2 linked regions of the Macaca fascicularis genome follow. The protein of the gene in region 2 interacts with the protein of the main gene of each other region in a pairwise test. Links are inferred from orthologs where the notes say so. Each region holds a gene or a part of one and is shown on either strand. Other genes may lie near its edges. The genes, in order: FXN and DAPP1.

What was found.
Region 1: the proteins of DAPP1 (region 2) and FXN interact in binary tests that used the Homo sapiens proteins (3 or more experiments, as listed by UniProt). The link is inferred for Macaca fascicularis from reciprocal best matches to the Homo sapiens genes DAPP1 and FXN.

The regions. Positions count from the first base shown.
Region 1 is NC_088389.1:99,778,825-99,782,643, reverse strand, and holds part of FXN (frataxin, mitochondrial), read right to left. Parts: intron 1,188-3,819; coding exon 1,067-1,187; intron 1-1,066.
Region 2 is NC_088379.1:105,454,937-105,458,855, reverse strand, and holds the start of DAPP1 (dual adapter for phosphotyrosine and 3-phosphotyrosine and 3-phosphoinositide), read right to left. Parts: upstream 2,401-3,919; 5' UTR 2,334-2,400; coding exon 2,233-2,333; intron 1-2,232. UniProt on the Homo sapiens protein: May act as a B-cell-associated adapter that regulates B-cell antigen receptor (BCR)-signaling downstream of PI3K.

The sequences.
Region 1 (3,819 bases), on a different chromosome or scaffold from region 2:
GCCAGTCGATAAAGACCAGCACTTCCCTGGCTTCTAGGATCTGGGGCTAATGTTTCATCCAACTCAGAAGTTCTCACACCAAGCCTGATCTGGTGGCTCATGCCTGTAATCCCAACACTTTGGAAGGCTGAGGGGGGTGGACCATTTGAGGTCAGGAGATCAAGACCAGCCTAACCAACATGGTGAAACCCCATCTTTACTAAAATACAAAAAGTAGCCGGGCATGGTGGCAGATGCCTGTAATCCCAGCTACTCGGGAGGCTGAGGCAGGAGAATTGCCTGAACCCAGGAAGCGGAGGTCACAGTGACCCGAGATTGCGCTACTGCACTCCAGTCTGGGCGACAGAGTGAGACTCCCTCAAAAAAAAAAAAAAAAAAAAAAAAGCAAGTTCTCATACTAGCTGCACACTGGAATTATCTGTGGAGCTTAAAAATTCCAGTGCCCTGCCCAGGCCATGCCACACCCCAGTCCAAGTAATCAAAATCTCTAGGAACAAGACCTAGAGAGACACATTAGAATCCCAGGTGAGCTTTTCAAAAATATGCTTCTCAGGAATGCACCCGACCTACCCCATCACTGTCTCACAGGAGCAGGGCTCAACTCTCTGTAATCTGAATAACTTCTGGGCAGTTCTCTTACCCCTGCTGAAGAACTGTAGGTCTAGTTTGTTGTTTGCTCCATCTGCCTGCCGAACAAACACACATTCTGGCCCCTCTCTGATTTGTCTTCATGGGTATCCACTGAAGCCGGAAAATGAGGCTCAGAGAGGCTGAGTGACTTGCCCAGGGTCACAACAAGCCTGGCAGAGCTGGGCTGCAGCTTGAAGCCTAGTCTTATCTATTTATTTATTTATTTGAGACGGAGTCTCGCTTTGCAGCCCAGGCTGGAGTGCAGTGGCGTGATTTCGGCTCACTGCAACCTCCGCCTCCCGGAGCCCTAGTCTTTTAATCCCACCCACAACTCCATGCTACGTGATGCTTAGCTCTGCTGCAGGGGAATTCTTCATTTTAGTGAACTAAAATTCTTAGAGGGGGAAACAGAAAAATAAAAGAAGTCAAGAGGTACCCCAAAGGAAACATCATAGTCCTCAAAGGTGTATGGCTTGTCTGCAAGGTCTTCAAAAAACTCTGCTAAAGAGTCCAGCGTTTCCTCTGCTAGTCTTTCATAGGTGGTGTCATCTAGAGAGCTGCAGGGGAAACACAAAACCCAAAACACGATTACCAAACACTTCCATTCTACTAATACCAAATTTACACACTTGTTATTTAAGTTCATTAAACTGATGAAAATAACATGTACAAAGTAAAAGTTTGTCCTTTTTTTTTCTAGATGGAGTCTCACTCTGTCACCCAGGCTGGAGTGCAGTATCTGGTCTAAACTCCTGATATCAAGTGAGCCACATGCCTCGGCCTCTTGAAATGTTAGGATTACAGGTGTGAGGCACCATGCCTGGCCCAAAGTAAAAATTTAAACAGCACGGAAGGGGTTACAGAAAGAAGCAGGCAGCCCCCATTCCCAGAAGCAGCTACAAATAATAGTCCTTTCTGGGCCAGGTGGCAAGGTGGCTCATGCCTGTAATCCCAGCACTTTGGAAGGCCGAGGTGGGTGGCTCACCTGAGGTCAAGAGTTCGAAACTAGCCAGGTCAATATGGCGAAACCCTGTATCTATTAAAAATACAAAAATTATCATGTCCTTTGCAGGGGCATGGATGAAGCTGGAAATCATCATTCTCAGCAAACTAACACATGAACAGAAAACCAAACACCACATGTTCTCACTCATAAGTGGGAGTTGAACAATGAGAACACATGGACACAGGGAGGGGAACATCATACACTGGGGCCTGTCGGGGGGGTGGGAGGCAAGGGGAGGGAGAACATTAGGACAAATATCTAATGCATGAGAGGCTTAAAGCCTAGACGACGGGTTGATGGGTGCAGCAAACTACCATGGCACACGTTTATCTATGTAATAAACCTGCACATTCTGCACATGTATCACAGAACTTACAGTATAATAATAATAATAATAAATTAGCTGTGTGTGGTGGCGTGACCTTGTAGTTCCAGCTACTCGTGATGGTGAGGCACAAGAATTGCTTGAAACCAGGAGGCAGAAGTTGCAGTGAGCTGACATCGTGCCACTGTACTCCAGCCTGGGTGACAGAGCGAGGCTGTCTCAGAAAAAAAAAAAAAAGTCTTTTCTGTATCCTTCTATCTGCATATTCTTTTTAATATACAAATGAAGCATTTTGCATTTTTTCACTTAATTGTGTCTTAGAAATTTGCATTTTTTCACTTAATTATGTCTTAGAAATTGTTCTATATTAGCACCTATGGATTTTTATAATATTTAATTTTATGTTATTTACCCAGTCCTCTTTAGCTGGACATGAAGGATGCTTCCATTGCTTTTGTTATTAAAATTTTGCTTTTGCCCAAAATTTTGTTGGGCAAATCACAAAGTGGGAGAAAATATTCATATTACATACATCTGAAAAATGATTCATCCAGAATATATAAAGAACACCGGCTGGGCGCAGTGGCTCACGCCTGTAATCCCAGCACTTTGGATGGATGAGGTGAGTGGATCACTTGAGGTCAGGAGTTCGAGATCAGCCTGGCCAACATGGTGAAACTCCATCTCTACTAAAAATGCAAAAATTAGCCGGGCGTAGTGGCAGGTGCCTGTAATCCCAGCTACTCGGGGGCCTGAGGCAGGAGAATCACTTGAACCCGGGAGGCGGGGGTTGCAGTGAGCTGAGATCGCGCCACTGCCCCCTCTACTCTACCCTGGGTGACAGAGTGAGTGAAACTCTGTCTCAAAGAAAAAAAAAAAAAAAGAAGACCTACAAATAAATAAGAAAAAGAAAAATCAACAGAAATAAAAATGGGCAAAATACTTGAATAGATTTCATAAATAAAAGATACCCAAATGCCCAATGAACACATAAAAAGGTGTTCAACTTTGTTAATCTTCAGGAAAATGGAAATTAAAAAATCACAGTGAGATGCCACCAGAATGGTTAAAATGTAAAAGGGCGGGAACCCTCATAGCACCAGTGATGAAAGAGAGAATTTAATGCGGGTGATGTTGGGAAAGATTTTTGTTCAGAAGTATGCCCAGTGCCACACTATGGAAAAGGGGGCAAGCACAAAACTGAGCCAAATCTCCATGGTCTGTCTTTTTGGGCAGAAGACAGGTCAGGCCGTTGGATTCCCTTACACAGACGCCAATAAGAACAAAGGCATCACCTGGGGAGAGGACACACTGATGGAGTATTTGGAGAATCCCAAGAAGTACATCCCTGGAACAAAAATGATCTTTGCCAGCATTAAGAAGAAGGCAGAAAAGACAGACTTGGTAGCTTATCTCAAAAAAGCTACTAATGAATAATAATTATCCACTGTCTTATTTATTACAAAACAGAAATGTCTTATGACCCTTTTATGTGTACCATCATTTAACAGACCTCATAAACCAGAATTCAGATCATGAATGACTGACAGAATATGTTTGTTGGGCAGTCCTGATTTACCTAAGACTGGCTTGTGGTTAAATGAGTATGTTCGGTGTTTTGAATTTTAATGGTAATTCTGGGCCTGGTGTGGTGGCTCACGCCTGTAATCCCAGCACTCTGGGAGGCTGAGGCAGGCGGATCACCTGAGGTGAGGAGTTCAAGACCAGCCTGAACAATATGGTGAAACCCTGTCTCTACTAAAAATACAAAAATTAGCTGGGCTTGTAGTGCCCGCCTATAGTCTCCAGCTGCTTGGGAGGCTGAGACAGGAGAATCGCTGAAATCCTGGAGGCGGAG
Region 2 (3,919 bases):
GTCTTGAATTGTACACTTGAAACGGGTACATTTTATGATATGTAAAATACACCTTAATAAAGTTGCTAATCGAAACGCCCCTAAGCCAATAAACAAAATATCAACATTTATTAGTACTTTTAAGATTCAAGTACATACCCAACAGACTTAAAACGAAAAATAAGACATTTACCTAATGCATTTGGTGGATACATATTCTATGCAGTGATCATCAACCTAGGGTCTCACTTTGGAATTACTTGGAGAGTTTGACAAGAAAACGCCCACCCTCAGAGATACTGAAATCATTTGTCAAGTCTGTGGTTTGGGTGTCAGGAGTGTTTTTTGTTTGTTTGTTTGTTTTTGTTTTTTTTTTTTTTTTTAAAGAAAGAAAAAGCTCATTGGGTTGTTCCAGAGCACAGCCAAGGTCAAGAACCTGGACTGTAGAGCAGTTTTCCCAGATGCCTGCAGGTTGCCCATTGCTATAGAAATCATCCTCATGTTTAATAATTGTTCAGGCCTTCTGAAATAGGGAAATCTGGACATGAATATATCCTTTTTTTGCAGGGAAGTGGTGTGACTCGGTTTTGTATTCAATGTCGATTCTTTGCACATGGAAGAAAGACACAGTCCACAGTCCTATTTCCCCCATGGGGTTCACCTGTAGTTGCTTCTTGCTATTGGCATCGTGGTGGGGCACAGAGACAGCATCTAATTCATCTTTGTCATCTAAGCGTGTTCCCACAGTACTCAACCACGGACTCTGGGTTCTAGGATTGTTTGTTTAACTAAACGATCAGAATTGAATAAATTCTTCTGTCTCCTCCTTCGGGGTTTTCTATTACAGTGGGCTGGGAATCAGTTAACAGAACATGTAAAGCGTTGTAGCTTAATGGTTCAATAAGGCACTGCGGGCCACAGTTCAGCCTCAGCATTTGGACTTGGTGAAAACTGTGCTGGATGCTCACAGAAGGGCCCTTTGCCTCTTCTGTTTGGGGATTCATTCTAGAGGGATAGAGAGATTCTAGAGCTCTGGCTTCCTAATAAGGGGAGTTTTCTTTAATGAAAATTCCAGTTGTTTTATCTGATTCGCCAAATGAAAGTAGAGTTCAATTCCAAGACCTCAGTTTTATAATCTAAAGACAGGAATTACTGATAAACTTTTACAGCAATACAACATAAAAAGATACAATCTCTGCAGCGTTAACACAGAGAGGTTTCAATTCTATTTTGGTTTTTCTTCGGTTTAGGACATAACCCGTGGCAGGTTGGATGCCCAGCTTTGCTATGTAATTGATGTGTGACTAGCAAGCAAGTTATTCAAACCTGTTTGGTGCTTGTTTTCATCCTTTGTAAGATGAAGATGACAACAGCTCCCATGTCATTGGATTGTTATGAAGATTTAGAGCTATTTACTCAGGCAGAAGGTACAGGTTTTACCTCTCCTCATGCACAGGTGCCAAAGCCACCCTCATTGGGATATTCCCAGTGCATTAGGCAGAAGGTTCAGTTTCTCTAGGAAACCCCCAATTCCTCTCTTGTGTAATACTTGCTTCTTTTATTAAATACCCGGATGAGTTGTCATCTGGGTCACTTCTCAAAGACAGAGCTCCAATGACTCCACCTACCTATGCTTACCTGTTTGAAGAAGAAATTTTATCCTCTTCGTGGATTGTTGGTATTTAAAGGCTCAAAGTTGGCCCTCTGGACATACATAAAATATAAAACTCCCAAATGCAGTATCAGGAGAAAGAAACATACAAGCGAGACTACTGCAGAAACTTCCTCATTCTCTATATTTTGAAAAAGTCCCCCTCCCTTACAGTAGGGTAGGCTTTCTGTTTATCTTACCAGCAACATGGTCCTTTTACTGTCCCTGGGTCAGTGCTGGAAACTCTTGAACAACACATTTATTCACAAACCAGAGCAACATCAAGGAAGTCAGGCAACGTCACCTCTATATCCCAATTCTGTCCCTCTTCTCAAAGAATGTCCAGCATTTGATTTTTTTCTCTATTTTCTCAACCTACTTGTTTTCACATCTAGAAAAATAATGCAGGCTTTTGCAATGGAATTAGCCCCAAACAGGAAGATACTTAACAGATACAAATGAATAAAGTGGAAAAAAATAAACAGTTGAAGTGGCAGAGGGCAACAAGGCTCTGAAGATAGTCATTAACCAAAGCATGAAGGTGGGAGTGCGGAGTCAATGTCCACCCACTAGGCACTTTGAAAGGAGATCTGCTCCCTTACCCCAAGTCCTGCAGCAGCTCAGCTTCTCCATCGGATCTGCTCCACAGATCTGAGGGATCCTGGGTGCTCATCTTCCCTTCTAGAAGTTCTGCTCTGCCCATTCGCGCCCTTCACAGAGGCAGAGAGAGACAACTCGGCTGCTCCTGCCACCCTCTCCCTCTGTGAGACAGCAGCCCGCTGTGGCTCTGAGTCTCCAAGGCAAGGAAGTGAAACTTGGTTACTTACTCCTCCCACCAATACCACCACCCTGGCCTGGAGGCACTGGCAGGAGTGTTCTGTCAGTGAGGAAGTATGCAAACTTAGGTAGTTACCTCTGAGGACACCCACACTGCATCACGCAACAGGCAGTTGCTATCAAAGGAAATGAAGAGGCGGTCACCCCACCTGGGATTGGACAACAGTGCAAACTGCTTGTGTGAGGCCAAACCCTAGCTTTTCCCTAATGCGATCAGCCTCTGGTTTGTAGGGGAGGATGAGTGCACTCTTTTACCAATCTTCTTTCTGTCTTACACACCAACACAGGGAACACTGAGGAAGCTTCTATATCAGGAACACCTTTAGAGTGGGTAGAAAAAACAGAAGCAAACCACAAGTTCAACCCTGAAGTTTGCTGTTTTAGTACTTTTGTAATATTTGTGCTTGTTTACCCAGATCTTCTAATATATCCTCGATTCTCTGAATAGGGATGATTCAGAGATAATTATTGTTTCCTCCATGGAAGAATTAGGAGAGAAGAAGGTAGGAAAAAGTTACAAGGGGCCATTCTGGTGCCCACCTAATGGGGCATATTAGAACTCTTGCAGTCTTTTTTTTCTTCTTTTTTTTTTTTTTTTTTTTTTTTTTGAGACAGAGTCTCGCTCTGTCACCCAGTCTGGAGTGCAATGGCGTGATCTGAGATCACTACAACCTCCGCCTCCCGGGGTTCAGGTGATTCTCCTGTCTCAGCCTCCCAAGTAGCTGGGATTACAGGCACCCACCATCATGCTCAGCTAATTTTTGTATTTTTGTAGAGATGGGGTTTCACCCTCAGGTGATCCACCCATCTCACCCTCCCAAAGTGCTGGGCTTACAGGCATGAGCCACTGTGCCTGGCCTGAACTCCTGGAGTCTTTGAGCGCCACTTTCTTCATGGGCTTACTCACACCTGCATGGCTTTGTGCCCAGATTCATATGTAGAGGGGGATTCTATCTGCCTGCAATGCTAAAGGTAAATGGCGGTGACTGAATCCTTGGGAAGTAGGACAAAGTGCAGTATCAAATGAGTCAAGGACATACGTTGCTTCCTGCCTTTTCTGTGTACCTACAGGTCTCTCTCTCCCTCTCGCTTTCTCTCTATTTCTTCTTATCTCTACTCCCTGACTCACTCAGCACTCACCAGGGTGCTCTGTAACTTGTTCTCACAGTTACAGAGGCCTGAGGACTAGCAGCACAGCAGAGCTGTTCCTAAAGGACTAGATGATTGCAAGAGGCTGCTGTTCACCTCACACGGTTCTATCCTTCATGTTCCTCCCTATTACCACTGTGAGACCCTGGGTAACGCTGGTTGCCAGTGAGAAATTCCCGAGTGTCTAGAGGAGTCTGCTGAAGACTAAGCTCTGATAATACATATGTAACTGACTAAATGAGCACTTACAATTCTTTTGGCTACAGTTTGTTCACAGAGGAGGACAGGGCCCACTCAAACAGA